Linked DNA regions of Drosophila melanogaster. The protein of the gene in region 4 purifies or fractionates together with the protein of the main gene of each other region. This does not show direct contact. Each region holds a gene or a part of one and is shown on either strand. Other genes may lie near its edges. The genes, in order: CycA, mip40, Rbf and Myb.

What was found.
Region 1: the proteins of Myb (region 4) and CycA purify together in Drosophila melanogaster (affinity purification with western blotting; one study listed by BioGRID). This does not show direct contact.
Region 2: the proteins of Myb (region 4) and mip40 purify together in Drosophila melanogaster (affinity purification with western blotting; 5 studies listed by BioGRID, with this or other methods). This does not show direct contact.
Region 3: the proteins of Myb (region 4) and Rbf purify together in Drosophila melanogaster (affinity purification with western blotting; 2 studies listed by BioGRID). This does not show direct contact.

The regions. Positions count from the first base shown.
Region 1 is NT_037436.4:11,826,620-11,836,436, forward strand, and holds CycA (cyclin A), read right to left. Parts: upstream 6,960-9,817; 5' UTR 6,450-6,959; coding exon 6,255-6,449; intron 5,628-6,254; coding exon 5,434-5,627; intron 5,364-5,433; coding exon 5,108-5,363; intron 4,226-5,107; exon of another isoform or gene 4,018-4,225; coding exon of another isoform or gene 2,998-4,017; intron 2,942-2,997; coding exon of another isoform or gene 2,816-2,941; exon of another isoform or gene 2,630-2,815; intron 2,571-2,629; exon of another isoform or gene 2,411-2,570; intron 2,066-2,410; coding exon 1,842-2,065; intron 1,774-1,841; coding exon 1,569-1,773; intron 1,499-1,568; coding exon 1,251-1,498; intron 1,187-1,250; coding exon 1,033-1,186; 3' UTR 464-1,032; downstream 1-463. Other genes in the region: CG7264 (uncharacterized protein), read left to right, coding at 2,816-2,941, 2,998-4,017; CG43064 (uncharacterized protein), read right to left, coding at 8,628-9,817. UniProt on the Drosophila melanogaster protein: Essential for the control of the cell cycle at the G2/M (mitosis) transition. Interacts with the Cdk1 and Cdk2 protein kinases to form MPF. G2/M cyclins accumulate steadily during G2 and are abruptly destroyed at mitosis.
Region 2 is NT_033778.4:19,289,520-19,294,537, forward strand, and holds mip40 (Myb-interacting protein 40), read right to left. Parts: upstream 2,678-5,018; 5' UTR 2,579-2,677; coding exon 1,775-2,578; 3' UTR 1,586-1,774; downstream 1-1,585. Other genes in the region: AANATL4 (arylalkylamine N-acetyltransferase-like 4), read left to right, coding at 1-281; Fkbp12 (FK506-binding protein 12kD), read left to right, coding at 670-706, 867-937, 999-1,217.
Region 3 is NC_004354.4:796,545-805,233, reverse strand, and holds Rbf (Retinoblastoma-family protein), read left to right. Parts: upstream 1-3,754; 5' UTR 3,755-4,448; coding exon 4,449-4,637; intron 4,638-4,716; coding exon 4,717-4,856; intron 4,857-4,917; coding exon 4,918-5,106; intron 5,107-5,168; coding exon 5,169-5,523; intron 5,524-5,586; coding exon 5,587-5,918; intron 5,919-6,220; coding exon 6,221-6,956; intron 6,957-7,091; coding exon 7,092-7,472; intron 7,473-7,541; coding exon 7,542-7,757; 3' UTR 7,758-8,144; downstream 8,145-8,689. Other genes in the region: CG13358 (uncharacterized protein), read left to right, coding at 337-1,160, 1,232-1,313; CG13359 (uncharacterized protein), read left to right, coding at 1,808-3,289.
Region 4 is NC_004354.4:15,853,209-15,860,335, reverse strand, and holds Myb (Myb oncogene-like), read left to right. Parts: upstream 1-2,512; 5' UTR 2,513-2,659; exon of another isoform or gene 2,660-2,722; 5' UTR 2,723-2,808; coding exon of another isoform or gene 2,809-3,162; 5' UTR 3,163-3,231; coding exon 3,232-4,546; intron 4,547-4,610; coding exon 4,611-5,269; 3' UTR 5,270-5,504; downstream 5,505-7,127. Other genes in the region: AlkB, read left to right, coding at 1,027-1,143, 1,195-1,736, 1,799-2,138; CG46440 (uncharacterized protein), read left to right, coding at 2,809-3,162; CG15914 (uncharacterized protein), read right to left, coding at 5,629-6,394, 6,448-6,730, 6,806-6,890. UniProt on the Drosophila melanogaster protein: DNA-binding protein that specifically recognizes the sequence 5'-YAAC[GT]G-3'. Component of the DREAM complex, a multiprotein complex that can both act as a transcription activator or repressor depending on the context.

The DNA.
Region 1 (9,817 bases), on a different chromosome or scaffold from region 4:
AATTGAAATAACGAATATTACTTCTGGGTTTATTTATTTATTTTGTTTGACCCAACGACGTGACACACAAATAATGGTACAAGTACAACCACCTCTTTTGCTTGCATCTTTCAAAGTTTTATTGAATTCTTAATATTGGATATTTAGGTAATATTCGGCTGGCGAGCACAAAACACTCGATGCGATGGTCAATGGAATTATCAAACTAAATGGATTAGTTAGCATAAACCTAAGTGTAAAGTAAGACCCATCATCTGGCTGTACGCATTTCGGCAGCGCTCTATTCTAGCTACATATGTGGTCGCAAGATGGTCTAGACTAAGTTTAGTAAACATTTAGTAAGCGTATAAGATTACAAGATTACAAGAACAAGAGTTTAGCAACATTCCACGGCTGCCTGCCGTTCTGAGCACGATCAGTGTGAGTTTTTTATTCCGTCCTGGCTGGGCGGTTGGTGTCTTTTGTTAAAATTGTGTATATATTTGTTTTGGAGTTCACAGAACATTTACGGAGTAAATAGTAATATATAAATATGGTAAAATAATTCTCGAAGCTAGCTGTTTCTGCTTTAGACACATTGTATACGTTAGTATGGTTCAATTTATAAACACGAAAACATACATACTTAACATAAAGAGGTTGAAATATAAAATATCGTTAGCATAAGCAGCACTAATATGTTGTGTCCGGTGGCTTCCTCCAATTTCAATTGGCTAATCGGATAGTTTTTAAGACTGCCGAAGTTCTTACTGCTCCCGCTTGGCATGACAAGCTCTCACCGTGGACAGACGCGAATGTTGTTAAGCGCGTATATTTTGGCAACTATCTTTTATATGGCTTACATATAAAATTGTCCGGCACTTGCAACGGGAGCTTGTCAATCGGCCAACCAATGCGAAGCTTTTATACGACTGGCTGACTGCGACCGAACTGCAATTGATCCATTGTGTACACTTATAACTAAAACTACATAATGTTACATGGAAACACTAAACTAATATACAATTTGGCCATGACAGCGGCTCAAAACACTTAAAACTTATAAAACAAATTCACGTTCGATTTAGTATTAATATCCGGCTGCTGGTGCTCATCCTCTTTCTGCTTGCAATTGTAAGCCTCACAGAGCTGATCGAAGTCGTCCTTGCTCATCTCAACGGATTCCATCATAGCCACCTTCTTGTAACTGTTAAGAAATACATTTGGTCAACACGGGCTCATTCTTCGGCTATCTAGTGTTTGCGACTTACGTGTCTCTATTGTACTTTTCCCGCATGGCCTGCGTGTTGAGCTCCTTTGCCGTTTTGTGGGTGTGACACAGATGCAACACAACCGTTTTTAGGTCCTCCAGCTTGTAAGTCGTGATCTCCTCCAGCCTTGGCGTCCACATCTCCATGCCCAAAATGTGACGCGCCAGTGCGACTGAAGCGGATGACATAAGTGATGGCAAATATTGCAAGTACGTTTCTCCCTCCATGAGCGACAACTCGGAAATATACTGTGTCAGGTAAACATTAAGTTAAGTTTCGGCTTTGTTTCTTTTTTCTTTTGTATTGGCAATAGCTTACCAGCGTCATGTACTTCAGCTTCTCAGGCATGTCGCAAAGTACAGCATAGGTGTTGATGAAGACGTAAGCAGTCGGTGTGCACAGATCGAAGGAGAGAATCTTCAAGATAACCTGCTCCATGCGTAGCACCTGCGCCTTGGTGTAACTGTCGTCGGTGAGGAAGACAAACTCACCGACCTCTGGGGGATAGATTTCCTCGTATTTTCTGAAAAATAAAAAAATAAACCCCATGAATACACACACCATTATTACCGGACTATCAAGAATACTTACGCGGCAATATACATAGCTGCCGTGCCCACCAGCTGTAACTTGGAGCGCACCACCGCCATTTGGCTCAAAAATCGATCTAGATAAAAGACCGAGAGATAGAGCGTCTCCGTGTCCAGTTTGTACTCCTCGGAAACCTCAACCAGCCAATCAATAAGGATGGAGCGCATATTGTGGCTAATGTCCTTCTGTCTGCGCATATAGAGTGGCTTGGGGCGATGTTTCTTCTGGAAGATGCAAACACATGCAAACAAATGATTAGAAACCGATTAGATTACCCGGCCTAACAAAAATTACTAAGCCAAACTTTTAATACTTTAGGTTAGGATTCGCATATATATAGCTTATGCCTTTTCTACACTCTAATCTGGCAACCAACTACCCGTTCCCAGTTTCATCTTAAGAAGGTGTCAAAAATGTACAAATTTCACGGGAGAAAAAGCCGTACAGTCATCAAATCAAGCGTATAAATACCATAGGAGAAGTGGCAAACAACAGCTGGGGGAGGGAGTTAACCGATTTTTATTTATTTATTGGTTATTTCGTAGTACGTGAGTCGCATCGAAATTCCCAGTTCGAACTTAAATTTCTTTGCCAAACACCTACATATATGTACATATATATGGGCAATATGTACATTAGGTGATTATTTTATGGTCGCTTTAACGATTATTGGAACCGTCAAGCGACTCGAGCTGCAAAAATTAAAGAATTCGATTGACATGAATATATGTACATACATCAGCATTTGTTTTATATTAAGGCAGTTAACTCCCATGAAATTATTATAGATATATGTAAATAGTCTGTAACTAGTAGGTTACAGAGGTAGTAGTAGAGGCAAACAATAAACAAAGCACCCAGCAACCGGGCAAACAAAGTCAACTCAGGCATATATCCACATCCTACTAACAAGAAGAGACAGACATATCGACCTCGAATACAGTTGAACATCTTTTATAACTAACTCCGGCACAATGACGCTCAAAATCGGTATATGCACCAAGCAGGATCTCGACGAGGCGATGAAGCTGCAGAAGCGGGAGCAGTACGAAGATGAGCGGAAGCGGCGCATTTTTAATGCCAAACAGCGTCTTTACGGGGTAAGTATGCATCTGCAGACTGGGTGAGCTTCATTGCCGAATATTCCTATTCACAGCTCGACCTAGAAATGCTGGATCGCCAAATACTTGAGAAAAAGAAGCAGCGAACCGCCCAGATGGAGTGCGACAAGAAATTTGAAGAACAGGAGCAGCTGCAGAAGCGTCTGATCCTGGCCCAGGAAATGGAGTTGGAGAAAAAACAGCGTGTGGTGGACTCGGATCTTAACTATTATCGCTGCCGCTATCAGCGCAAGGAGCAGCGCCGCGAATTCGACCTAAATGATCCGAATTTCTTGAAGAAGGCACGTCCAACAAGAGTCGCCGACAATGACATTTCGCTGGGCGTGTCCAGTGCCCAGATCTTTCAAGGCGAGGACCTCTATAACTCTGACAGAAAGCAGCGGCAGCGGGAGCAGCAAAGAGCCTGGCTGGATCAGCAAGTGCAGGAGCGTAAGAGGGCGGAGGATGCTCGCAAGCAGGCCGATAATGTGTTGATGGACAACGTTGGTTGCAGAGACAAGCATCTGCAGGAGATGGCCAAGTCTGATCACCAGATGCGCAACCAAGTCATCCAGCGAGTGCGTCAGTTCAATATCAACATGGCCAAGCAGAAGCAATTGGACCGCGAAAGGGAAAAGCGTGAAAAGTACGAGGATGACATGGCCGAGATCTATAACATGCTCTCCAGCGATATGCTAACTGAAAATCCGGATGTGGCTCAATCGCGCACCGATCCGAACAAGAAGATTGCCTTCATGTATCGCGGCATGACGCCCGAAGAACTTCGCGTGTTTCGTCTTGGACAAGATCAGCAGCTTCGTTTGTCTATTCAGCGCAAGACGGAGGCCCAGATGATGGACAAACAGTGGGAGCAATACTCCATTAATATGGACCGCACCCTGGTCCTTCACCAAATCGAGGATGATCGCCGACGTAAGGCGGAATTCGATGAGCTGATGCGGGCGAATTCCAAGTTGGCCGTGGAGCAGGATCGCCAGCGCAAGGAAGCCCTTGTGGGCCTAACCAATGCCGTCTCCGATGACTTTTACGATCAGTTCAACAAGAACTCACGTTAGTGGGATTGTATTGAAGTTCCCAACCAAGACGATTCGAGAATAATGAGCTGGATGCGATTAGAAAGCTGCCTCACTTTCTTGTGCAGCAACTTTCCATAGGCGTCCAGAACATTGTACTATTTTAAAAATACAATCTTTGTTGGGAATCTTCACGACGAAATTATAATGTTCATGTTGGAAACAAAGCATTTCAAATATTTAAAAATTTAAAAAAAAAAAAAGACAAAAACCCATCTCTAGTAAAAACTGAAATATCAAGGGAAAATAAAGAATACGCCCATTCTGGACAAAACCTAATCCTTGTGTTGTTGTTTTGTATTATTTAATGTTGTTTTCGAGTTTTGTAATTTAACTATCGATTTTAAAATATTTTTAAATTTTTTTTATTTGTTTTGGTTTTCTAGTTTTTTAAATTCTTTATCAATTTTAAAACTTTTTTGGTTTTAATTTTTTTTTTAGTTTTTAAACTTATTTTAATTTTTAATCTTTTATTTACTAACGTAGGAAACAAACTACAATAGTAGTCAACCTCCCTCTGCAAGTCGAATTCCATTGGTACCCCGAGTGTTCTACGACTTTGGACGAATGAGAAAAAGAGAGTCAACAACAACGACAAAGGATGAGACGGACGCAGACAGACAAGCGTTTCGCTTCCCGCCCAACAAACATGTGCCCGCGAGCGGGAATAAGTGTACCCATGAACCCATAAAGAGGCAGCGTTGCGTGAAGGGAATGCCAACGGAGGGTGCGACAGGGTCCGACTTCCCCTAAGAAATTACGTCTGCCTGCGTCTGCACAGAAAAGTACAATGCACATGGCCAAGTAAGTAGTAACACATTGAAAACGCAAGATACCTTGGGAAAAAATTCCAAATTTATGCCAGAAAACATGACTGCAATACCCTGGAAGATAATCAAGGAAAACTCGACCTGATAAAAGTTGTCCACTTCAGTTACTAGTTAAAAAATATCATTGTCTTTGACAATGATTACGCGATGAAAGCGAGTTTGTGAGTTTGAAATATTTTTGTGAGGAAGTCATCTAATAATATCATATTGAAGCCTATGTTTATGTCCCTGGTTTAGCTTACCTCGCTCTCCCGGAAATATTCCAGAATGTCCATCTGGTACTGAACCACTTCCAGGAACCGCTGGCGATCGTTGCGCGGCGGAAGCTCCTTGACTCTTCCAGTTGGCGAGACTCCCGTTTCAGTGCCCACGCTGATATCACTGGACTGTATGACACCGAGAATGGAGCGGTCCACGGACATGGGGGACTGAACATCCGTCACGGACATGGGTGTTGAATCCAGATCGTAGTCTACCAGCTCCTTCTGCCCAGCACCGCTGAATGGAGTGAAAAAAAAAACAAACAAAAGTTTGTTTGCGGCTTACCAAGTGACAGATGGAAACTTACAATTTCACGTCATGGTTCTCTTTGTCGACTAGGGAGGCCAGGGATTTGCCGGATGGCGCAACCTGGGTATCGTTGTTGTCCTCATACACGGAGAAGGTCTTGAATTGCTCCACCACGGGCACCACATTCGATTTCTTGGCGCCGTACTCCACATTCTCATCAACATTAAGATTTCTGACGTCACGGAAGACCTGCTGGAAGGAACAGAAGACGAAGAAGACAAATTCAACAATATGGTCAACTTACTATATTAGGTAATAATTTTATATTAGGTAATATTGCAGTGGGATTATAAAAGTAAAAACACAAAGATAATTCCTTTTACATATGCATCCTTAATATAGTAAGCAAAAAAGAAATAAAATGATTATCCCCCCCCATAAATCGATCCAACTTTAAGTTGCGCGCCTTTCCCTGGCTTCCCGTATTGCTCGTGTGTGTGTGTATGTGTGCACCTATACGCATGTGTGCGTTGCATGTCGCAATTGCTTTTGCCCTCCTTGCTTCGCTTTGTTGTTGCAAATCATCAAAAAGGCGCGTAATTGCAAGGCCTGTGTCTTTTTCTAGGTTAGTTAAGGTTCTAGGTTAGGCGCAAGTAAGTGCATTGGTCGTTCTAAGAAGAGAGTAACGTAAGATGGAGAAGTGAAAAGGATGGGATGGTAGGGGAGAGGTAAGGGAGAGAAAACCACCACCACCACTAGGAGATCTCACACATGCGCACGGTCGCAGTGGTGTGACGATCCCACCACCATAAAAATATAAAAAGGCAGCTGCATTGGAATTAGGCACTGGATGTACGGGAAATCGGCAACGGTACTTACAACTTTCCCGGCCGGACGCGGCACATTGTTGTTGCCATTGAGCACGGCGAAATTGGCCCGCGGCGCAAGCGCATTTTTCTCCGCTTTTCCCCCAATTACGGCCAGCGGCTGCTTGGTGTTCTTCACTCCGGCCGGAATCTTAATGCCCGGATTCTCCTTGTTGCTCATGTCTTGGTGGATCTGGAAACTGGCCATGGTGCGCTCTTTCCTACTCCTTTTTTCGCCTTGTAAAATGGAGTCCGATTATGCTCTGCTCTTCCCTTCCTTCTCTCTTTCTCTTAGCGTCGTTGCCTTCTTGCTGTTGTTGTTACTGCTGCTGCCGTTGTTGTTGTTTTGTGCTGCTTTCTTATGCTCGACGCTCACACCGATACGCACACATTCACAGGCTCATATGCTCAACGAAGACGCAGACATGTGTACATTAGGCGCAGGCAAATTTTATCATCGACAAATTGACGCTTGAATTACACGCACACACACAGTTTTGTACAGAATTCATTTGACTTTCAATTTCGTACGGAAGTTTGTGTCACGGCAGCGTTGGAATTAGTTTCCTTGTTTGGCTACGCTCGCACGGACTTAGCTAATATTAAGTATTTTACAAACTCCGTACTTGTTCAGCGGTTCGTGGTTTAAAAGCAATTGCTGGCTTCTTTTGATTTTTTCCCGGTCAACACGTCGTAAATGTTAGAGATGACACTGTCCAGCTATCGATAGGTCGTGGCGTCTATCGACATTTGCCGACAGTGTGGCCATATATGTCAGAAGTTTGTTTTTTAGGACTGGCAACTCCAGCAGTGCGCAAAATTTAAAAATGTGTATAACGTTAATTTTTATTTTTGCCGAAGTCCATTGTTTTTGCATAGTTTTTAAAAATGAGTGCATATTTATTTAGTTCTAAGCTTTAGAGATCAAACCAATAATACATATTAAAGGTTTATAAAAAGGGTTTGGAATAAGTTCTTCATGGGTTTGTAAGCATTGTTTTGAAGTTAATCGAATATATATGTATTATATCCATATATATAATCCATATATTATGTCCACGGTAATCGCTTAAGTTGTTATTACTGTTGCTTTGATTAAGATTAAGAATTCACTGCAAAGCGAACTTGACAAAAATCAATTAAACAACTGTTTATCAAAATATAATTAAATAGAAAGCGTAATGTTTTTGATGAAATGTTTAAATAATCGACGTATTAGGACACTTGGAAAAATGTTTAGGTTACAATTAAAAAAAATGGCTAGGCTTTTGGACTTTCGGTCTCGAGTGGCTCCAAAAATCGTTTCTGTCCCAGAAATAAATCGAAACAGGAAAAAAAACTTTTCCCCTTTTCGAAAGTCCTTTCAAACAAAGTGGCCGCTCGAAGTTTTGAACAAATTATGAACTGCATGCAACAGAAAGTACACAATTAACAACAACCACCGCGTTAAATTTAAGAGCAGCAACTCTCTAATTAACTTTTTAAAGAGCTTTATTTCGGCTACTGCGATTATTATTATTTGGCTGTCAGTGGAAAACCCAAAAAAAGTTAAGCGAAACTTTTTCTTTTCAATACGCCTAACGATGCTACCCATTTATAAAAAATATGTTAGTGTAAATACAAAAGTATATATATTTATCAATTCGGATGACTTTCACGATTAGAAAGATATAACGAAATACGCCATACGTCTTCCCTATGAATTTCTAATGGGAGGGGCTGTGAGATATTTATAGAAAATACAAATATAACATTCATTATAATAAATAATAGGTGAATTTGTTAACAGTTATGGTAATTGTTTTGATTTCTAATCTTCTTAAAAAATATGTATCCTGATTTCTTAACCCTTTTAAGTTTAAGAATATAACAACATAACGTGGTGGCTTAAATATTTGTCATAACTATTAAATATGTATTGTTTTTGACTTAATTCAGCATTGTACATACATGTATGTATGTATGACTCTTGCCACGATTATTTTGTGAACGGAAGAGTATGTTTTCTAGAGCAGCTGCGCCTCCCTAAGAAAATAAAGAAAAGGTGTATCGGATTTTGCATTGTTTTGCACGAGACATTTCGCAACTGCCGGCCTAAAAACTAAATCAGTTAGGAACCCAAAGAAGTACGAACACAATGAGCTAACCAACATTCTGATCCTGCACACAAATGCTGACCTTTGCGATCTCGATGTCCTGGAGACCAGGTAGCAGGACAACCGACTAGCAGTTACACAATTGTATAATATCGTTGGCCCCAGCAGCTCTGGAAATATACATAAAATACCTTACAGGGTCAAATAATAATTACCAATATAGTAAGGCAATATTTGGCGAAAGTCAAACGTTTTTTTATTAACTAACAAAAAATGCTGTTCGTTTGTAATTAATCTAATTCATTAGTATCTTTGTTCATCAATATGGGACTCTTTAAATAGCCGTTAATGAACTGAATGTTCCTCTTGCCCTTCGGAACCGGAAGATTAAGGCTCCAATCAACAGATGATTCGTGCAAATAGATTTTAATTTTTCTGTGACTGTACAAACTTAAAGCTTTTAACACAAATTCAAAGGTGATTTCCCTGGCAAACCGGACACTAAGTACGTTTAAAAGAGCACATTCTTCCAGAAGCGCAAGCAACTCATCGTTGCTAACATATAACATTTTCACGTCCAAGATTTCTAAATGCTTTAGACGTAGAAAACTTCTTGCTGCATCTGTTTTGCATGAGACAAACAGCTCCCGAAGTGAAGATATCTCGCAGATAGCATCTACTTCTTCCAGTTTCAGGGTATTTCCCATCAAAATTAGACTTTCCAACGGAGTGCCCGGTTTTTGAATGAGTTTCTCGATGAAACTTTTCGAGATAAATTTATTGTCCCGATACCACAACTGCAAGTGTTTCAATTTGGGAAGCTGGTGGACAGTATCGTAGGGTACATTTCCTTCCAAAAGTATTAACGAAAAGGCGAGACTTTCCAGATTTTTTCCCCTTCTCACAATTACCCGAAAGTCTTCCGCTTCGAGATTGGCGGTGTTTTCACCCATGTTAAGGTGGCACAACTTCTTCATTGTCATACAGCACGAGGCCAAAATGCTCGCATCAAATCCACGCTGGTTGCCAATCTCCAGGTACTCCAATTTATCTAGGGCACGTAGTCCGTCGCCCGTGTAGGATGTCGCCTCCAATTTCAATTTCTTCAGGTGCGGCAAATCGCTTAGGCTGATTATAAAATCCTTATAAAGACCTTCATCCGTGAAGTGCAGGCTAGCATGTAACGATGTTAGACTCTTCAATTTCAACAAAGGGTTCCATCGGGGGCGTCGAAAAGACATTTTGAGGTGTCGCAGGTTTGGGCAGTAGTCGCGCAATATCCACAAATGCTGATCGTGCCCAGAATGCGGATCCAATGGCGACTCATAGCTGATCACGTGCTCTCCGACAATGTACAGTAGTTTTTGCAGTTCCATTTCGCCGATACTTCCGATGTCGCTTTCTCCAATGATTTTGTACCTATGTTGCAGGGCTTCGAAAAGCATTTTAAGCTGATGATTTGAGGTGGCGAGATATAGTT
Region 2 (5,018 bases), on a different chromosome or scaffold from region 4:
AGGCGCTCTACTCCCACGTGACCAGCGTGGCCTCGTGGAAGAGGGGCAAGGGCCTGGGCTCCCGCCTGGCCGCCACCCTGATGGAGCTGGGCCGATCGAATGGTTTCCCCCTTATGATGGCCTTCTGCACTAGCTTCTACTCCGCTCGCCAGAAGGGGGCCTTGGGCATGGAGTGCATCTATTCCATCGACTACGCCGACTATAAGGACGATGAAGGACGAGTGATCTTCACACCGGCAGCCCCACACACAAAGCTGCGAGTGATGGCAATCAAACTGTGACAGTTGATAACAAATAACTGAGTCGAGGAATTTAAATAAATTATATAACTATAGTTATGTTTATTTAATACTTAGCACACTTTTGGGGGACCTATACAAGTTGACCAATGACCAATGTGTCTCGGACTTTAAGATAAGAGGCAAGATCTTGCACTGCTTTATTCTTTCGGTTCATAGTAAACAATTCAAACGGACGCGCCAAAATACAAAAACGTCCTTATCGATAACTCGGAAAGCAATTGGTTTTGATAATTAATCAAATTGATGTGTGCGATAGTTTCCGCTCACCGACCATCGCCCACCGCTAGCTGTCATTCGGCGACGCGACGAACTGAAATCAACGTGCTTATTTTCCGCTCGGTAATTTGCCAGAAAAAAACTAATCGAAATGGGCGTACAAGTAGTTCCAATTGCTCCTGGTGATGGTGAGTATCCAATGATTGGGTTAGAATCCGCAAGAAATGCCGTAAACTACCGGCCTTTCTAACCTATTTAGTGCATTTTCGCAATGCACAATTCGGAAATACCTGCGACAATATGGTCGTCCCGCTCACACACATCCATTTTTGCATTCCCCGCCCGCAGGCAGCACCTATCCCAAGAATGGCCAAAAGGTCACGGTCCACTACACCGGCACCCTGGACGATGGCACCAAGGTGAGTACGAATCCCGATCCTCGCCATCCCCAGCTAATGATCCGCCTTGAATTCCACGCAGTTCGATTCGTCGCGCGACCGCAACAAGCCATTCAAGTTCACCATCGGCAAGGGCGAGGTCATCCGTGGCTGGGATGAGGGAGTTGCCCAGTTGAGCGTCGGCCAGCGCGCCAAGCTGATTTGCTCGCCGGACTATGCCTACGGTAGCCGTGGCCACCCCGGCGTCATTCCGCCCAACTCCACCCTCACCTTCGACGTCGAGCTGCTCAAGGTCGAATAGGCGCACAGGATGCCCAATGTGTATACCCCAAACCAAATCGCAGGGGGTTGCGGACCGGCGCACCGGCGACGAGCCGAAGAACATCATAATCGGAACCAGAACAATCCAGCAGCATTTGCCAACCCAAAATAATAATGATAACTTCATACACAGCTCTAAACTAGAACTAATTTAACCGCAAAGGGAACGCATCTTCTACCAATACAAATAAACATTTATTCAAGTCAATGACAAATGTCTTTCTTATCAAAAATCTTGGGATAATCCAATCAAATCAGCTGCGGTTGCCTTTCCGTGCTGCAATACAAATGCATTTCATATTATTTTTTAATCAGGAAAATATGCAAATATAAAAACGCTTTATCATTCTCTTGATAGACTTGAAGTGGTCTACTTGACAAATTTGATTTTATTTTATATAAGTATATAAAGTGTACAAGCATCTTATTTGCATATATATTCGATTTGGAAACAGGATTTTTTTTAATTCTTTGTGCACAATTAATCCAAATTATTTTTCATTTTCTATACCACTTCCAAAATCACCTAGATACGCTTCAGTTTTTGCAGACCAAGCTCATAATCTTGTCAATAACTTCATATCGCTCCTTTTCATACTTCTTGATATGCTTTATCCAGTGTCCGCGCACTTTCTTCCAGCGGTTCATATTGGAGGACAGAAGATCGGAGGTACTGGCACCTTGGAGAGCCTTTTCCCGCTTCTTGTCCTCCTGGCTGAACTCCAGACGAGGCGGAATTATGGGCAGATCCGTGGACTTGGCCTGCGGGAGCTGGTTGATCACCTTTATCTCGCCGCTTTTAATTTGGGACAGGATTTCTTCGCCGTTGTCCTCACGTTTGGTGGCCGTGAGTGAAGCATCTGTTTGAAATGCACCCACAGCTGGATTCTTGGGTTGATTTGCCATCCATGCGCGGCATATGGGGTACAAAGGAGTCTTATCCTGGTATTTGGACAGGTCCAAACTTCGCTCAAACAGGCGCATTACGTAGGTCTCGCCGGGCGCCTTCTGGGCGACTGCCGCTGCTCCAACGCTCTTCTTGTAGAGCACTCTCCTGGCCTTGATGCGTCCTCCGGCGCCGGCTGCGGCTGCACTCGAGGATGTCGAAGGCTTCTCGCTAGAGCCCGACGTGACCGTCTTGACTTTCGGATCTAGCTTTACCTGGTACTGACGCTGCTGTTGCTGCTGGATGAGCAGCTTCTTCGAGGGACGGCCCCGAATGGGCAAATCCGACTCTGCGTCGTCGTCCGGCGGCAGGTTTGTCGTCTCTGGTTTCTGCTCCTCACGGCGCGACTCCCGCAAGCGCAGGGCCGTTTCCTTCTTTTTCGGCACAGTCTTCATTTCCAGAAATCTTGTATTCGACACGAAAATTAAGGGAAAACAATTTCGAATGCCGAATCGGAAATCAAACGGACTTACGGCGCTTCACAACACTGAAACACCACTTCGCCACGCAACACTACATAAGTCAGTGGTATTTCAAAAAATACCATAAATTAAAGAAAACAAACGGTCTTGGCGCCTAACGCTAGCTTGAGAAATAATTCTTTGAATTATTTGTAGCTTAAATGAAAAGAAAAAAGAATAACATATATATTTTTAAACAAAAACTTAATACACATTAATATTTGACTATTCAAAAATATTTAATAGACTTTGATTGTTAAATTAATACTTTTGTAGATTAAAAAAAAAAAAACAAGGAAATGAAAGTCTTAAAAATTTGGTATTTCTCGATTTGGTAATTTTAACCCAAAACCTTTCGGGCTTTTCAACCCACCTTTTATGGTCACACTGCTGTTTTGTGATCGCGAAAAGAGCGACGTGAAAAATACATTTAATTAAGTTTACTGCGAAAAATAAAATAAATAACTAAATTAAAACAAAGCGGAGCTTTTGCGTGAACTGTGTGTGTAGTTGTGAGTGTGTGAGAAAAGAAAAACGAAAACAAAGCCAACGAGGAAATCGAAGGGGCAAAAGTGGAAAAGATTCAGATTGAAAAGCACCAAAATATCGAAATCACAATTTGAATGTCAAAGAACAAACGACAAAAAGAGCGGAGCAACAAAGGAACATTGGAAAAGTCAAGAATTTAACTTATTCGGTAAGGATGCAAATTGTAAATCTGTGGATTTTGCTTCTTCTGCTCACGCACACATCCACATACAATTGGGAAGTGCACAGGTGTGGGTGGATCTGCTCTGTGTGCAAATAACAAATTGTGAAAAACAACTCGCACACATGCAGATCACCTAGTGCACCAAATAAAAGCAATAAATAAACACATTTCCAAACGGGCAACAAGTTGTGAATGCGTTTTTTAAGGGGGAGGGGCCATACCAAGTTTCCCAACGTTTCACATTTTCAATCGATCTCGGTTGTTTTTATATATGTATGGATATTTTTTATCTACTATTGCGTAGCTGCCAATGTCACCTGTTTTTTGCTCTCTCTCTCTCTCTCTCTTGCGCTCTCTCCCTCCCTCTCGCTCGCACCCACGCTGGCTGTAGCTGGTTTTTATCTTGTGCCGTTAACACAGCCATTACGTGTCTCTTTCGCACTCGCACTGCACATTGGTGTTCGTGTGTCTGTGCAAGACTGCACGTAACTGTATTACCCATTCGTACATGCGTATACGTATTTCCGCCTATTGATAACGGCTGAAACTCCCTCGAAATGGCCGTCTTTTCGAAATATGTAAACGAATCGTTCGGGTACATCCCCCGACCACCACCCACCCACCGCCCACTCAACCCCCTCCAAGCGCTTCTAATCGCAAAGTGCAAATATTGATTTGCTATGTGTGCTTTTAGATTTTCTCCCACTATCAATAACAATAAGCGCTCTCTGTACGTTGTTTTTGCTTCGGTTTGGTTTCGTATTAAGAAAACAAGTTCACAAGTTTTTGCACTTGTTATGCACTGTAAGAAAAACGCAAGTTTTATTCAAGAGCTCCGCATTACCGCATTATATTGCCAATTGTGAAACTTTTATAATATTTATACTAGCAGCTTAGTTTTGTAACTTTCGGAAATAAAAAGTTTTGGTAAAACAAACAAGAAACATTTTATTTATTTTTTTAAGTGTTGATCATTGTTGCTGTTTCGTTTTGTGACTTTGTTTATGTGGCGGTTTTCTTGTAATTGCGGGAATTTCCCGGCATTTCAGCAGTTGAGAGTGCAAATATAAAGCAGAGAGAGAAACCCTCATCTGTTTGTGATTATCTGAATTCTTCTTCCGTATTTAAGCGTTAACTCTGCTTTTGAGCGACAAGGCTGTTAAATATTTTCAGCTATAACACCAAAATTACCCTTTATCTCGCAATATATTAATAAATACAAGTCTCCAAAAGACGTCATAAATTAAAACGCGATTTAAATGACGTTTAAAGCGACTTCTAATTTATGTATGTTTATCACGAACTAAAAATTTAATTACTTTATAAATTTTAAATTCTCAAGATAGTGAGCAACTATGTATGTTTTAAAGAAAAAATTGTTGGAGTTCCACAAAATTTCGTTTGAAAAATTGAGTTTTTATGTACCAAATATGCAAATCAAATGAAACTTAAAAGCTGACTTAGAAATCCTTTTGTTTATATGGGTGAAACTAAATAAATCCTTTTGTTTATGTAAATCACGTTCGATTGTGTGCTTATTCCACGCATTAATAACTGCCTTACTCCATGCACAGAGTACAGCTTTTTTGAATGTCATGCTGATATGACAGAGCTGAAACGCTCTTCTGACATAATAGATTAATACGTATAGACTCATTTTCA
Region 3 (8,689 bases), about 15 Mb from region 4:
AATTGAAGCCCTGCAAGCGAATGCGAATAACCATTCCCATTTCTGCTCATACCGAAGAATGCTAAGATATACACAAGTTTGTGATCAAAGCGGGAAAGCTTATGACATTATTTAAAATGCTTGTACTGTGATCTTAAATCGAATGCATTTCAATTAACTCTGAGCCCATCGAGGACTGCGGTCAACCTATTTTCTCATCGTGTGATCGGATCACCCGCAGCGGAATGCGTGCGCTTCCGTTTTGCTCGGCTTGGCCTCCTTCCTCGTTCCGTTGAAAGCAGGTATGTATATATAAGCCACTGCTCCACCTAGAGGCTCCACAATACAAAGTCAGTCATGGCCGGGTCAGTTCGTGCGACGCTCCTGGGTCTCCTCATGCAGATCCTGTGCAATGGGCTGGCTGGTCAGCAGCTGCTCCTCACACGTCCCCAAAGGAGCCTGTTCGAGACTCCGCTGGGTCACGTAGAGCAAGTGGAACAAGTGCCCTCTTTAGGCTGGAATAGTGTTGGTAGTGGACTCGGAGTGGGCGAGTGGCCCTACAGCCCCGTTGGTCTCGGCCACATGAGCAAGGATGAGCTGCTGACCCTGCTGGAGGCCTGGAAGGAGGTCGAGGAGGAATCGGCCACAACAACGACTGCGTCGCCAGCGGATGCCAGCACACGTAGACCTCCTCCGCCTCCACTGCCACCACCACCACCTCCTCCGCCACGACCCACACCCATACCAGTCTCCGTTGCAATCCCGTCACCGGCTGTTCCGCCCTCCGGCACTCCCATTACAGTGCGGCTCCCAGCCTTTGTGCCTGTGCGTCTGGCTGCCGTGTTTACTCCGCTTGCCGGTGGACAAGCTGATAGTGCTGTTCCGTCTGCCAACGGAGTCGGAGGGGCTGGAGGAGATGATTTGTCCACCGATGACGTGACAGATGATGACGGCGTCTCTACCCGGCTCTTTCGCTTTTTGCCCATGCCAGGAGCTCGAACGAGACCGCAATCCAATTCACAGCCCAGGCAGCAATTTGTGGTGAGGAACACCCTGGACAGCGTGGATGCGGGCACTGCCCCTGTCAGGCAGCAGATTAAACCGGAAGTCCAGCCCAAGGCGACTGCTCCGCCTTCCATTCCCAAGTTCCCTGGCCACCCAACTCCCTTCTTCCGTCCCAGGTAAGCAGAAACGAAAGCGCTAGAGGTGGTCATCTGGGCAGCCGGCTCATTTCCCTCCATTTTTGCTCTAGATTTGGTGTGCCACCGAGTCTGGCCAACGCTCGATTCGAGCTGGTGCCCTCTTCCCAAATCATCGGCGACTGGCGGGTGTGAGCCTGTGCATCACTTGACTGACCAAAACGGAGTACCTTCCGGCGAACCAACCAGGATCGAGCTTTTGAAGGAGGCTGTCTTGCTAGGCTGTTTCCACTGTTGCTTATGTATTTTATTTTTTATTGAATAATAATTTTTTTTTTTTTTTTTGTGTCCAAATAGAATATGCAATCAGTCATAGATTAGCGACATACTAACTGCTTTCGAATTGAAGTAGGCACTTTTTCTGCTCCAATGGCCATGTGAAGCCATATATGTACATCTATTTGTATGTCCTCTGAAATCGCTCAGCTTTTAAAACAAAGAGCAGTCTGAAGAGTACATATAAAGATAGCGATCAGCCCGAGTATTTAGCCATAACAATTTATAGTATTTTTCGAATCCTAAGATTGGAATATTCAGTTCAATCGAATATGTATGCAGTTTCCCCTCACACAGTTTTATAAGTTGGCCTGAAGTTTTTGTACAAAAAAATATAAATTTTATATTTAGAAATGAAATGCTCTGCATCTTTTAATGCCCTCTGCGACGTGGGAACGCCGCGTCCGAACTTGCAGCGGTTAATTCCCTATGTCGAGCCGCAACAGGACGACGAGGAGGATATGGTAGTGTGGTGCCGGTCAAATCTGGATTTGGCCTGCTCGCTCAGCGAGATGCGCATACGCTGTCCAGAGCACTTCGATGTCGCAACCGTCGTGGGGGTAAATTCGCATACCGGAAAACTAATCACCCACTTTAATCACCGGAAACTGGGGGATGTGGACCTGGCGCCTCACGCGTTGCTTAGCCGGCGAGACAAGTTCATGGACATTTGCCAGAAACAAGTAATGACGAGTCAGGGCTGCTTGGCGTCAGAGGGAACACCAATCCCCGCCGACCTGGAGGTCACTTGGCAGAGTCATAGCATCATTGACTGCCTTGCTCTCCGCAAGGTGCGTGCAGAGATGAATTTAGCTGATCAGAAGGCGGCCAAGAATCTTGTGGATCGCGTTGAGGTGCACCACAAGACTTTGCAGACGGAGGAGGCGGAGCGAAGGAAATTGATTATTGACAAGGCAAATTCTGCGAGGAACTTGACTATTGACAAGGCAAACTCTGCGAGGATCTTGGCTATTGACAAGGCAACCTCCGCTAGGAAATTGACTATTGACAACTCAACCTCCGCGGGGACATTGACTATAGACAAGGCAACCAACGCGAGGAAATTGACTATTGACAAGGGAACCTCCGCGAGGAAATTGACTATTGACAAGGCAACCTCCGCGAGGAAATTGACTATTGACAAGGCAACCTCCGCGAGGAAAATGACTATTGACAAGGCAAAATCCACGAGGAACTTGACCATTGACAATGCAACCTCCGCGAGGAAATTGACTATTGAGAAGGCAACCTCCGCGAGGAAAATGACTATTGACAAGGCAAAATCCACGAGGAACTTGACCATTGACAATGCAACCTCCGCGAGGAAATTGACTATTGAGAAGGCAACCTCCGCGAGACGTTTCTCTAGACCAAAAAGATATGTCAGCGGGTATATTTCCAAAAGAAAATCGATCGGAAAAACGGAGTCTTTGTCGCGCGGTGCATACATCCCCGATCCTGAGCTCAACCGCGCGATAGCCAAGTACGGTGTGTCTGCTAGTCAACCGTTCAAAAGACAGCATTGCCTTGTGCTGGAGAAGCATCCCGACAGAACCCAGATCCCGAACTCCAGAACCAACACCAGTGGCTGTAAGTCCGACGGCTCTTCAACACCCATTTGGAGAAGTGCTAGAACTGGTGCGGATCAGAATACGCAGGCAGAGAGTTCTGACTCTTTCAATTCCTCCAATTCCTTCGAGAGCTCCAGTCTGGCCAGCGATTCTCAAGAAAACCACGAGCTGTCCACGGCGGCAGGTCTGACGGCGGCCTTTATGCGGCGACACATGCTATTCCACCTCCTGGCCAGGAGGTTCAGAAGACGGTATCTACGTTAGCCACGTCGTAGCTCGGGTCGTATGTGCTGCGACAGCAAGTTCTCTAAATTGTATAGTGTATATGTATGTATGTTAGTAGCTGAATCGCGAAGAATTCCCGCGAATTTCCATAAAGTTCAAAGCAGTATTTAAATTTGCGGCTATCGATTACAACTAGCTATATCGCCGATGTGCAATGCTCTTGAACGCTAACCAACACTGTCAGTTTACCGCACACATGCAAATAGCATTGTGCATTGCAAATAAATTATATGTGTACACATATTTTTGTCAATTATTTCGTTCTAATTCATTTTAGGGTCCCCCAATTTAGGTATGTATGCAACACGACATACTGCTTGCAGTCACTGCATAACTCGCCAAGCACTGTAGTAATACCACCCCACCACGTTTAAACTGGCCGAATGCGCGCGTCGGTGTGACCGCATGGCTTTGCTGGCGAAATACCGGCCGCCCAACTAAAAATCCATTAACTTGTATTAACGTGTCAGACTCTGACTATGCAATCGCAATTGCAAAATCTTTAAGTAGTGGCAATAAATTAGTTTTCCTTCTGCACAAGTCCATCCCTAGGGCCACATCGTCCGCGCAGCCCTAGAAGTGGATAGTTCGAACGCGGAGTGGATCACACGCACCTGCCCGCCGCAACTAGTCAAGTTTCCCGCGTTTTCCATGGCGATTAAGTTGTGAAATAGTTATTTTGTTAATGTGTTTTAACCAACAACCGTGGCCGTGGTGTGGTCCTGGCTAATCGCAGCATCCCAGCGCTGTTTGTTCTGTCCCCTCGCCTGCTCTTTTGTTGTGTTCCTCAGAAAAGGGTGTATCGCGAACACACACACACGCGACAAACACTCGCACACAAACACACACGCCCAAATCATTTCGGCGGGAAACTTCATTATTTCTGTAATTAAGTGTAAGCTCTCGCAGTTACATGTCCGCGAGGAGCGCGGCGGCAAGCGCAGCATACACCGGCAGCCACTAGGCGCCAGGCCACTAGACGTAAACAGCGGCGCCAGGCCCGCAACGCCCCGGTTAGCCGGCTAGCTCCAATTCAGGCGCCTCCGTCTCCGATTTCCGACTCCAGGCTGTCGCCAGAAGCAGCGGCCGCCGCTGCAAGCATACGCAATCAGCCGGGACAGAGACATCATTCGCAGACATGAGCGAGCCTGACCCGCAGGAACTGGGAGCTGAGGTGGTCAGCGGATTGGTGGCGACCAGCGACGACCGCCTGGAGATGATCAACGCCGAGTACACGAACCTATGCCGGGATCTAAACATGGATCGGCAGACAGAGCTGCAGGGCTACGAGACGTACTTAGAGGTGTCCCAGAGGTGCTCCATGGAGGTGAGCTTCGAAGTGGCAGCAGTAGCCTCCAACCTAACGTCCTTTCTTTCATTCTTTCTGTGCATTGCCTGCCTAAAAGGGCACAGCCAGCCACTGGATGTGCTGCGCCATTTACACGGCCTGCCGAAGAACCAGCACACCCACGGTGACTGGCCAGAATGCAGTGGTCAAGGGTAATTGTGTGTCCTTAAACAATTTGCTGCGCTGCTGCAAGATGAGGTGGGTTGCCGTTTATGCCTGCAGTTTCACACCTAACCATTTCCACAATCCCCACCCACAGCATCTACGAGTTCAAGACCAAAATTAAGCAGTGGTGCGACATGGCCAACCTGCCTCAGGAGTTTGTCAACGAGATTGAGGATCTGGACCGCAAGTTCAGCATTACATTCATGCTGCACAAGCGTTTCCGCATTATTATGGACATGATCTTCTCGTGCCCGCCCAACGAGAAGAAGCACTCCAAGTACATGTGCGTATATCATCATGTCAGCCTGACCCCGTGTATATAAAAAGCTTCCCTCTTTGGAACAGTTCTCTGCATGGCAACCACGCCCACGGAAAGTGCTCGTACATCAAGCTGGACGACATCTGCTGGCGCCTGTTTCTCTGCGCCAAGAACCAGAAGCCGAGCAACACCGTGGACCTGGTGACATCCTACAATCTGATGATTTGCTGCATAGACCTGATATACAACAATGTGCTGGCCGAGAAGCGCACCGATCTCATCAACCCCAAATTCGAGGGCCTGCCGAGCAACTGGACGGAGCTGGACTTTCGTCACAATCCGCACTGCATTTTGTCCAACTTCTGTGACATGACCGAGGAGGCTAAAGCCATGAAGGCCACCACTTTCCGCCAGATCATGTCGAGCTTCTTTCAGGCTTCGGTAGGAGTGCCGTTTCGGATTTCCATTAAAACAATTAATTTGTTCTATTTTCATTTCGACCAGACCATCTACGGCAACAAGGACACTATGTTAGGCCTATTGGCTAACGAAAACTTCGAGCGCAACCTAAAGTCCCTCAACATCAGCTACGAGCAGTACGTCCTCAGCGTCGGCGAATTCGACGAACGCATTCTGAGTGCCTACGATGCGGGGGAACACACTGCCCTCAACGACCAGTCCCTGCGTCCGCCGGTTACTCCGCTTACCCGCAAGCAAGATCTGCCTGCGCAGCCCGCGATGGCTGGCGATAAATTTGAGCCCGTCCGCAACGCCACTAACAACGTGAAGCAGCTGAGCGCCTTCGGACGGATCACAGAACCCACGGACTTTGTCAAGTGAGTTGCCGGCTGGCCTTGTATTTGGGTTGGGTGTCGAGTGTTCCTAACTATCATTCAAAACCTGTGAGAGAGAAAAGGCTTATCTCTATGTCCAAATGGCTGAAAGTCGTTGGCGTCGTGTAAACAAAACTCATGTTTATTTGATTGCTTTATAAATCGTAGGAAATATCGAATATCGAATTTCGTTAGCCGAAGCACACATCCATAGAAATTTCTGTTGATGTAAGAAGAATCGATTAGATTAAATCCGGGATTGATTTCTATAGCTCATGTTTTGATATCGCCCTGTCTTTATCCAGGCAAGCTGGCGAAGAGGTAATAGCCAAGCTGCTTAGCATCATCGAGGAGATCGAGCAGAAATTCCTCGCCAAGTACCCGTCAACGGAGGCGAAGAGTCGCTTCCAACTAGCGAAGTCCTTCTTCTTCTACCTGCTCGACCAGATCCTGCAGGCGGAAATTCGGAACAAGCCCGACATCGATCTCAAGCGACTGCTGGTGCAGAAGGTCTCCCTGGTCATCTTTAACATCACGCTGATGGCCTGCTGCGTGGAGCTGGTGCTGGAGGCCTACAAAACGGAGCTCAAGTTCCCGTGGGTGCTCGACTGTTTCAGTATTAGCGCGTTCGAGTTCCAAAAGATCATCGAGATCGTGGTGCGGCACGGCTCGCACGAAGGCTGTTTGAACCGGTCGCTGATAAAGCACCTTAACTCCATCGAGGAGACGTGTCTGGAGCGGCTGGCCTGGGCGAGGAACTCGACCGTCTGGGAAATGATCGCCTCCGCCCAACTGCCGTTGCCCACGTGGCTCATGGTTAACCTCGACCGCGCCGCCGGCCCCTTGCAGATATTCCTGCGCAAGGTGTACCTGCTTGGCTGGTTGCGCATCCAGAAGCTGTGCTCGGAGCTGTCACTGTGCGAGAAGACGCCCGAGAGCATCTGGCACATCTTTGAGCACTCGATCACCCACGAGACGGAATTGATGAAGGACCGCCACCTCGATCAAAATATTATGTGTGCAATATATATCTACATAAGAGTGAGTAGCACATCCACATTCTATCTCTGTCCGATTCGCTGGCATACATTTTGAAATGCACATAATCAGATGCATTCGTCCGTGTGCAGCTGAAGACCCACTTATAACATCCATGCAACTCCTTACAACCCGCAGGTAAAGCGAATGGAGGACCCCAAGTTCAGTGACATTATGCGGGCATATCGCAACCAGCCGCAGGCGGTGAACAGCGTCTACCGCGAGGTGTTCATCGACATCAACGAGGACGGGGAGCCAAAGGTGAAGGACATCATTCACTTTTACAACCACACTTACGTGCCGCTGATGCGGCAGTTCGTCATCGACTACCTAAACGTAACTCCGGACGTGAGTGGCCGGGCTTCGGATCTACAGCTCTCCCCGCATCCGAAGGAACGGGCCGCCCAGCCCAAGAAGGTAACCCAGAGCCACTCGCTGTTCGTGTCGCAGATGTCCAAGAACGAGATACAGCAGTCGCCCAACCAGATGGTCTACAGTTTTTGCCGCAGCCCCGCCAAGGTAAATATTTCGGAGTTGCGTCCACCTCCTCAGCTATAACATCGATTAATCCGCTTGCTATACCCGCAGGACCTTCAGGCTATGAACGAAAAGGTACGCGGCGGCAAGCGCATGCTGAGCTTTGGCGACGAGCCCGGACTAGGTACAATGGCAGAGACGAAGCGCTCGAAAATCAGCCAGGTCAAGGCCGTCATGGACGACCCTGAACTGCAGTCAGCCGAGCAGCAGACTGCTGTTACCACGGAAGGTTGCGTAGGGGGCGAAGGAGGAGAACACGAGACATAGACACGGGGCTTATGGGGGCAGACTAGACTTAAGGCAAGAACTAAAAATTCGGCGCAGAAGGCCACACACTGGCCCCTCCGGCGCACGTTCGACTATTTTATGATTGTTTTTTTTTAAATATTAAAACTTAAATTGACATTTTAACTTAATTTCAACAAACTATTTTAGCACATCTTTTAATTTTGCTCAACGCCAGCCAACCATATAATTCATATGCTAACCCAATACTTTGAAATAGTTGTACTAAATACTTGATCACCACACACACACACATCCATCGGTCGCGACTCCCCGCGATTTAAAAATCACTAACAAAAAAACAAATCAAATTAATGCAATCCACATTATATATAAAAGCTTATATACAAATATACTTTTTACAAATTGATGTTAATTGTATTTATTTAAACATTTTCGTAGTCGATCTACGTCGTCGTACAAAGGATGGGATGTTTAAAATCGTAATTTCTCTGGTCGAAATTGCCACCTTTACAAGTTTCAGGCACCAGGCGAACAGAAACAGTAACAGGTGCTAGCTGGCCGCTCAAATTAACTAAAACAGCTGATCCTTTTCAAGATGGCTGCGCCTTACGCTTTTCCAGTCAGCCCATTCGACCAATAGGAAGCCAAAGATGGGGAGAAACCGTTAGTTACTTTATGATGTCTGCCCTATGTGGCAATTTTTGTTTGCCTGGTGTTCAGCCACTGAGAATTCACAAATTTTTGACAAAATTTACGACGGGGCAACATTTTTCGCAGACAACTGTCGGGTCCCAGACACTAGGCCAACAGAATCCCTAGCAAGCTGCAGCTGGCAGCCCTTTCGATCTTTCCAGTTACCAATTGACCAATAGGAAAGCAGCACAACCGTTAATTCGGAACAGAGCGCACACCAGTGATGAGCAGCCGAGTTGTTCTTGATGTTCGTGTCA
Region 4 (7,127 bases):
ACACACACATTACCATAGATCAGTAATTTTTCTTTCAATTTTCATTCACTGGACAGTTTGTTGATGACGACAATACGTTACTTACACGCAGTGTTAACTTTTTATACGCAAAACAAATTCCCGTCTTCAACTACACAAATAACTGAAAATTTTGTTAACGAAGCCACCAATCTGTAACTTTTCATTTGCACTCTACAATTGGCAGCCAACACCTAGAAACAAATTAAGGGTGCAAGGAAGCAGTATCGATGTATGCGGATATCGATAGCATTGATACATATTCGGCAGCCAGGCTGTTCACACTGCGGACGGAGAGAGCCGGCAAATATACCAACTTGTCTTTATTTATTCAAAGTTTATTTGTCAAAAGACGTTATATTTTAAAAACATATTTTATTTTATATAAACAATGTGGTACCCCTTTCTTTTGAACCGAATATAGTATTAAGCACGCCCCCTCACATGAAAGTAAAATAACTACAACATATATAAATATATAAATATGTCATATAAATATACCATTTTCTTATTTCAACTCCTTTTTTAATATTAATTCATAAAAATATAAAAAATAAAGATCTATTATCGCTCTGAAGTGTAATGTTCCCACTTGATTTTTTCCTGTGCAACCCTTAAGACGTATCTTCGACCGAAATAATGAAAACGATCACTGCAAAAACGTAAACAATGAAAAAATCGGTCTCAAAACAACAAAAATATTTCAAAATAGTTAAAAGTCCCGTTCATATATCGATAACTTTATATCGATAAGATTAATCACAAATGAATCACCTCATGAAAAAAGGCTTAAAATTTTTTCCATGAAAAGGACATTCGAGCTTTTTCGGCAATGTCTCTTATGAATTGCATTCATTTTTAATTTTTATATCTATCCCATAGTATTTCCACCACATGTCTGATTTCTAAACGTGCTCAAAAGCATTTAAGATTTCTCCAAACGCAGTCACACTATTGCTATCGTTTATATTAACTTATTGTTTATATTGTACTTATTGTTTATGAAGCATGTTCAAGCTAGTTTTTAAGCAGTACAAGTGCAAAAGTACCAGTCCTGATTTAACGGAAGTTGTTAAGATCGATGATTGTGTAGTCAAGGGGAATGATCAAGAAAAGAGTGATAATGTAAGTACTCGATCCGTTGCAATTGAATTATGATTTCTACATTCCCCTCAGAATATTGTTCAACGATTAAGTATCAGCAATGTAGAAAGCCTACAGACAATGCCAGGCGTTAAATCGCCAAAAGATTGGCGAACCTATACATTAACTAACCATCCCGGCATTATTGTGATTCGGAATCCATTCTCGGAACGAGGCCGGCGTTATTGGAGCGCCCGATGTCTGCGGGATTTTCCGCGAACGCCAAATATAGTCAATTTAAATGAAAGGCTCTTCGATGAATCCGTCAGGTCGGACTGGTGGAAACAGCTTAATCTGTGCAGCGATGGCGTTGAGTTCCAACGTATAAAATCCGCGATGCGTTGGACGACATTTGGATATCATCACAACTGGGACACGAAGATCTATGATGAGGAGATGCAGTCGCCGTTTCCCGAAGATTTGAGCAGTCTATGCGGATTGTTTGCGCAAGCGTTGGGATACGCGGATTTTAAGCCAGAAGCCGCAATTGTAAATTACTATCCAGTTGGTAGTACGTTATCGGGTCACACAGATCACTCTGAACCAAACAAATCGGCCCCTTTGTTTTCTTTTAGGTAATATATCACGGATTAAACATATCCGTGCAGCTAATTTTTTTTTAATTTTATGCTTACAGTTTTGGTCAGACTGCAATATTTCTAATTGGTGGAAGATCTTTAGAAGAAAAGCCAACCGCTATCTACCTTCAATCCGGGGACGTTATGATAATGTCCGGAGAATCGCGTCTATGCTATCACGCAGTTCCTCGTATCATCAAAACTCAGGCTTCCGCGACTTTATCACTGATAATTGAAGATGTCGATAATGCAGATATTAAAACGCGTACAATTGATAAAGATTTATTTCATGATGTTGGCAACCCTCAATTTTGGGAGCCTTTTTCGAGATATATGGACGATTCACGTATTAATATTAATATACGTCAAGTTTTAAATCCAGGAGATGTTAAGCTTTAACCCCTCCTTGGAAAAATTTTTAATTTTATAGTATTTTACAAAATAAAAAACTGCATTTCAATTGAAAACTAAAGAAACATAGCAATTAACGTTGAAGTGATGCGTTCAATGGAAATATCTTAAATGTATAGGTGAAGTTAATAGTTTTATAAATATATTTTTCAGTCCCTATAAATGCTACTGACAACTAAATTTGGCAATTCTGACAAAATTATTTTATCCGATGGCAACTTTTTAACAATATTTCCAAGAAGTTGATAGCTAAATATCGATACTATCCCAGCTATCGTACAAGATATTGACTTCTAGTGGAAACGTGCCGATTACCGTAGTGATTATTTATCGATAGATTTTAATCGTTTTGAATTACAACGCTAGTGCTCGTGTAACGGTCACACTAAGTACTACATTTAATATAATAAGATGCGACGCCGTAAAATTCCAGTGTGAAAACGTGAATGAACTGATCAAAAACACCAAAGTGTGTACCCATAGCCCAGCAGTTTGAATTTGAAATAACGGTAGCACCACTTTAGATGAAGACAAATGTGCGAGTGGTAATTTTTTTCCCCCGTTTTCCTCAGTGCTAAATATAGAGCATCAAAATGTTTGGCATAAACGTAATATCGTAAAACTTGCATCTGCTTTTTAGTTCGCTGCCTGAATGAGTATGTCCACAAATATCTGTAATCTTCAAGTAACAAAGAACACGAATCCAAACCAAAATCGCCTCGAGGAGCAGCAAACAAAACTATTCGATTTTGGGCGGACCGAGAGCGATGCGACGCACCCAATATTGCGCAGCGATCATCAACGTGAACTGGTCGACTGCCTGACGTGCGGAAATCAATTCAAGTGTAACTCGTACAGCGACATTTGCTCGCACTACATATTCTACCATCCGCATATTCTGGATCATTTGCCCAAGTGCTTGTACTGCAAACGCGACGTTCATCGTTTCCAGCGTGGGAACAAGTCAGAGCCGGAGATCTATCACTTTTGTTCGCCCCGCAAGCAGCGTTAAAGAACCCATACACATATATACAAAGAGCGCCATTATTCATATATATATACCTATAAAGTTGATCTTAAGATGGCAAGTGCGAGCACTGAAAACGGCGAGGAGCTGATGAATTACGGCAGCAATTCGGATTCGGAGGAGTCCGAGTACTCGGAGAACGAGGATACCCAAGTTTGCGACAAGGATTCACAACAGAACAGCAATGCCGATTCGGGCTATCCACTGGACTCGCCCGAACTACAGGACTCCAAGACGACGGGGCAAAAGGGACAGAACAAAAGCGGTAAAACTAGCATCGGTGCAGTGCATCCGAACTATGGATTCGGCAAACGCTGGTCCAAGTCCGAGGATGTGTTGCTCAAGCAGCTGGTGGAGACGCACGGTGAGAACTGGGAGATTATCGGACCGCATTTCAAGGATCGCCTGGAACAGCAAGTGCAGCAGCGTTGGGCCAAAGTCCTCAATCCGGAGCTAATCAAGGGCCCGTGGACGCGGGACGAGGACGACATGGTTATTAAGCTGGTGCGCAACTTCGGGCCCAAGAAATGGACACTAATTGCACGATATCTGAACGGACGAATTGGGAAACAGTGCCGCGAGAGATGGCACAACCACCTCAATCCGAATATCAAGAAAACGGCCTGGACCGAAAAGGAGGACGAGATTATCTACCAGGCTCACTTGGAGCTGGGCAACCAGTGGGCAAAGATTGCCAAACGTCTGCCCGGACGCACCGATAACGCCATTAAAAACCATTGGAATTCAACAATGCGTCGCAAATATGACGTCGAACGCAGATCGGTTAATGCATCTGGTAGCGATTTGAAGAGTTCGCGAACCCATCTCATCACGCTGATCAAGTCCGGTGGCATCAGCAAGTGTATGAATAATATGCAACATAACAAGGAATCTGGTGGTGAGGCAGTTAATAAATCCGAAAACGCCGATGGCGCTTCGGTTACTGCCGTGAAAGGTGGTGATCTGGCACAGGAATCACAAGACGATCATCAAAAGGGATCCAATCTGGCACACCTCAGTATGCAGCATCTCATTAAGTTGACCATGCCGCGCCAAACACCGATCATATTGAAGCGTACACGCAAACACATTCCCGAAACTCACCATCAGGCAGGATGTTCATCAAGTGAGACATTCAACCAGGAAGAAGCCGCCGGAAACGCCAGGTCGCGACCACCGAGTTCGCCCGTCATATCGCCCATTAAGTCGCTACCCTTTTCACCGAGTCACTTCCTCAAGTCGCCTTGCCTGACCACCTTTGAAGATATGGATCTGCGGGCTAGCACGCCGGTAACCAAGGTCTATAATCGCGTTGGAATGGAGATCAAAAAGGAAATGGAGACATCGTCGATAGAAACTCCACACAAGAGTAAGTACAAGCCACTGTTGGCTTCAAATGCATCTTGAATACACACAATCATCGTTATTTGTAGGTCAACTTGGACCACGAACACCAACGCCCTTCAAAAAGGCACTTGCTGCCATCGGCAAGAAGAGGGACGGTCGTCGATACGAGCCCTCCAGCCCATCCAGTCTGGTGGAGGATCTGGCCGAAATCATCCATGAAGAGCATCTGAGCAACTCGCTGACCGCAAACAATTCCAAAATGATGGGCGCCGCCGATCAGAACTCAACGCTAAGCACCGAATACAATGCTCAGTCGCCGCCGCATATGAAACGTGCCAGGAAGTCATTGCTCTCAACTTGGAGCTCCAATCATCCATACAACGCTGGCTCCGCCAAGAGGATTCAACCCTTCGAAACCGAGACGCCCAGCAAGTTTCTCACATCGCCGGGCGATATTTTGAAGGACACGCTGTGCAGCGAACAGGACCTGCCGTTCGACGAGGGCAGAAAGGAGAATCGACCATTCCATAATCGCAGAATTAACAAGTACCGCGGTGGCTTGACCTACGATCATGTCATTGATCCCAAGTGGGCACGCGTCGCTTGTGGCAAGTCCAGAGATCAAATGTTTATGGAGGAGCAGGCTTATGCGTGCCTCAAAAATCTGTCCTGTATTTCGCGCTCCCTGAACTTCGAGAAACAAAAGTGTTTGGTGAATTCGTTCGACCGCTTTGGTTCGCTCTAAATTCTATGTGGCTATATTCAGGTATTACAAACAAAATTCTATACGCATCATCTTTATAATATTGTAGATATGAATCCCCAAATTTTCATCCAAATTGTGTTTTCGAAATAGAATTTATTGTGCTACATTTATGGCATTATTGGTTACATCCACCTTAAATTGTATCCCATTTTTTTCGGATATTTCATAAATAAATAAATGCTTAAAGTGAATGAAGCGTGTTTTAACACAAAGGACTTACATATATATATCGTTTTTTTTTGGCTTTGTAGGTTACAGAAGAGAGATATATTTATTCAAAAATATATCTATTATATTACAGAGAATATTTTGATAGACATTTGCCAAACCTTCGATTTCTAACTTTGTTCGTCTGCAATATGTTTATTGAATATGTCCAGATATTTTGGCACTAGTTCTTTCGCCGAAAAACGATCGAAATTAAAGTTCTCAAAGAATTGATCGCGCTGCTTGCGAAAGACCCTCGGCATTCTACAAAAGTTGTAGAGCTTCTTCGTCAGCGCATTGGAGGTGTTGTAGAGGTTTTCCTTTGGGTAGATTTCCGGGTAGACCAATTTGTTGGGCGCAATGGGATAACAGCCGCAGAAAGCGGCCTCCAGCATTGCTACTCCAAAAAACTCATGGTCGGCAGTTGATATCACAATGTCCCCAGTCAGCAGGGTCTTCAAGTACTCTTCACGCTCCAGATGGCCAAAGTTCACCAGCTTGCTGCCCAGTTTCTCCTGTATATGCTCGAATTCCTCCGGTATCTCCTGGTAACTCTCGCCACAAATAGTCACCTTGAAGTCCACTTGTCGCTCATGGAGCTGACAGAGCGTATCCACCAGTAGTTTGGGATTCTTATCGTGCTCCCAGCGATGTGGCCAAATAAGATGGATGCACTTCTCATCCAGATCCTCAGCAGTCTCCCCCTTTACGCACTCCTTCCGAATGGGAAACCGTTCGAAATTGACGGGAAAGTACAGCACTTGGCATTTCTTCTCGATTTGCTCGCGAATATGCTTGATTTTAAAGTCTGGCTGCATATTCAGAAAGGGCTGAACATTATCCAAAAACGAGTTGCAGTTGAATTGGGAATTGAAGAGCACCATGTCTGCGGCAAGACTGAAAATGGATGGGTTATGGATGCAAGTTGGGTATACAGGATGGTCACCTACCAGGAGAGTATCTCATTGAAACCGTATTGACAATCGCGCTGCTTCACCTCGCGCACCGGATAGATCAGCTGGTTCTCGTGGAAGTAGACGATCTTCCGGCAAGCGGCCAGATCCGGACGCAGACCAATCAGCTCGGCCAGGCTGAGCACGGAGCTGGCGAAAAGCACCCGGAATGCGTGATCGCGCGGAATCAGCTGGGCGAAGTGGAGGGCAGAGGTGCGTGCTCGCCAGTGCCATTTCTTGGCGGGAAGGCTGAATATCTCGCTGTCGCCATGGTTGAGACCTACAAATTGGATGATAAGTTGGAGTGAAGTTTGTATGTCTAGTTGTAATATTCTAAGTATGTATATATGTGTACCCTCGATCAGTGCGCCGATCAGCTGTTTGTGACTGCCCCCGTAAAACGGTTCAATAATCAAAATATGCGGCTTTGCGCACGACATGATAGACGGTCTTGGTGTGTGACCAGAGTGAGTGACAATTACCAAATATATTAATTATTTTAAATGTTGTTTATTTTTGAATTGATCACTACACAATTTATAAAACATTTATTTAACATAATTAGGCTAATTAAATTACCCCAATTGGTTTAAAATAAACAATGAAGGGTGTTGTTTTTATCAGCTGTTTGAATGCACAACCTGTGCAATGCGAAAATATACCGACCAGTGGAGAAC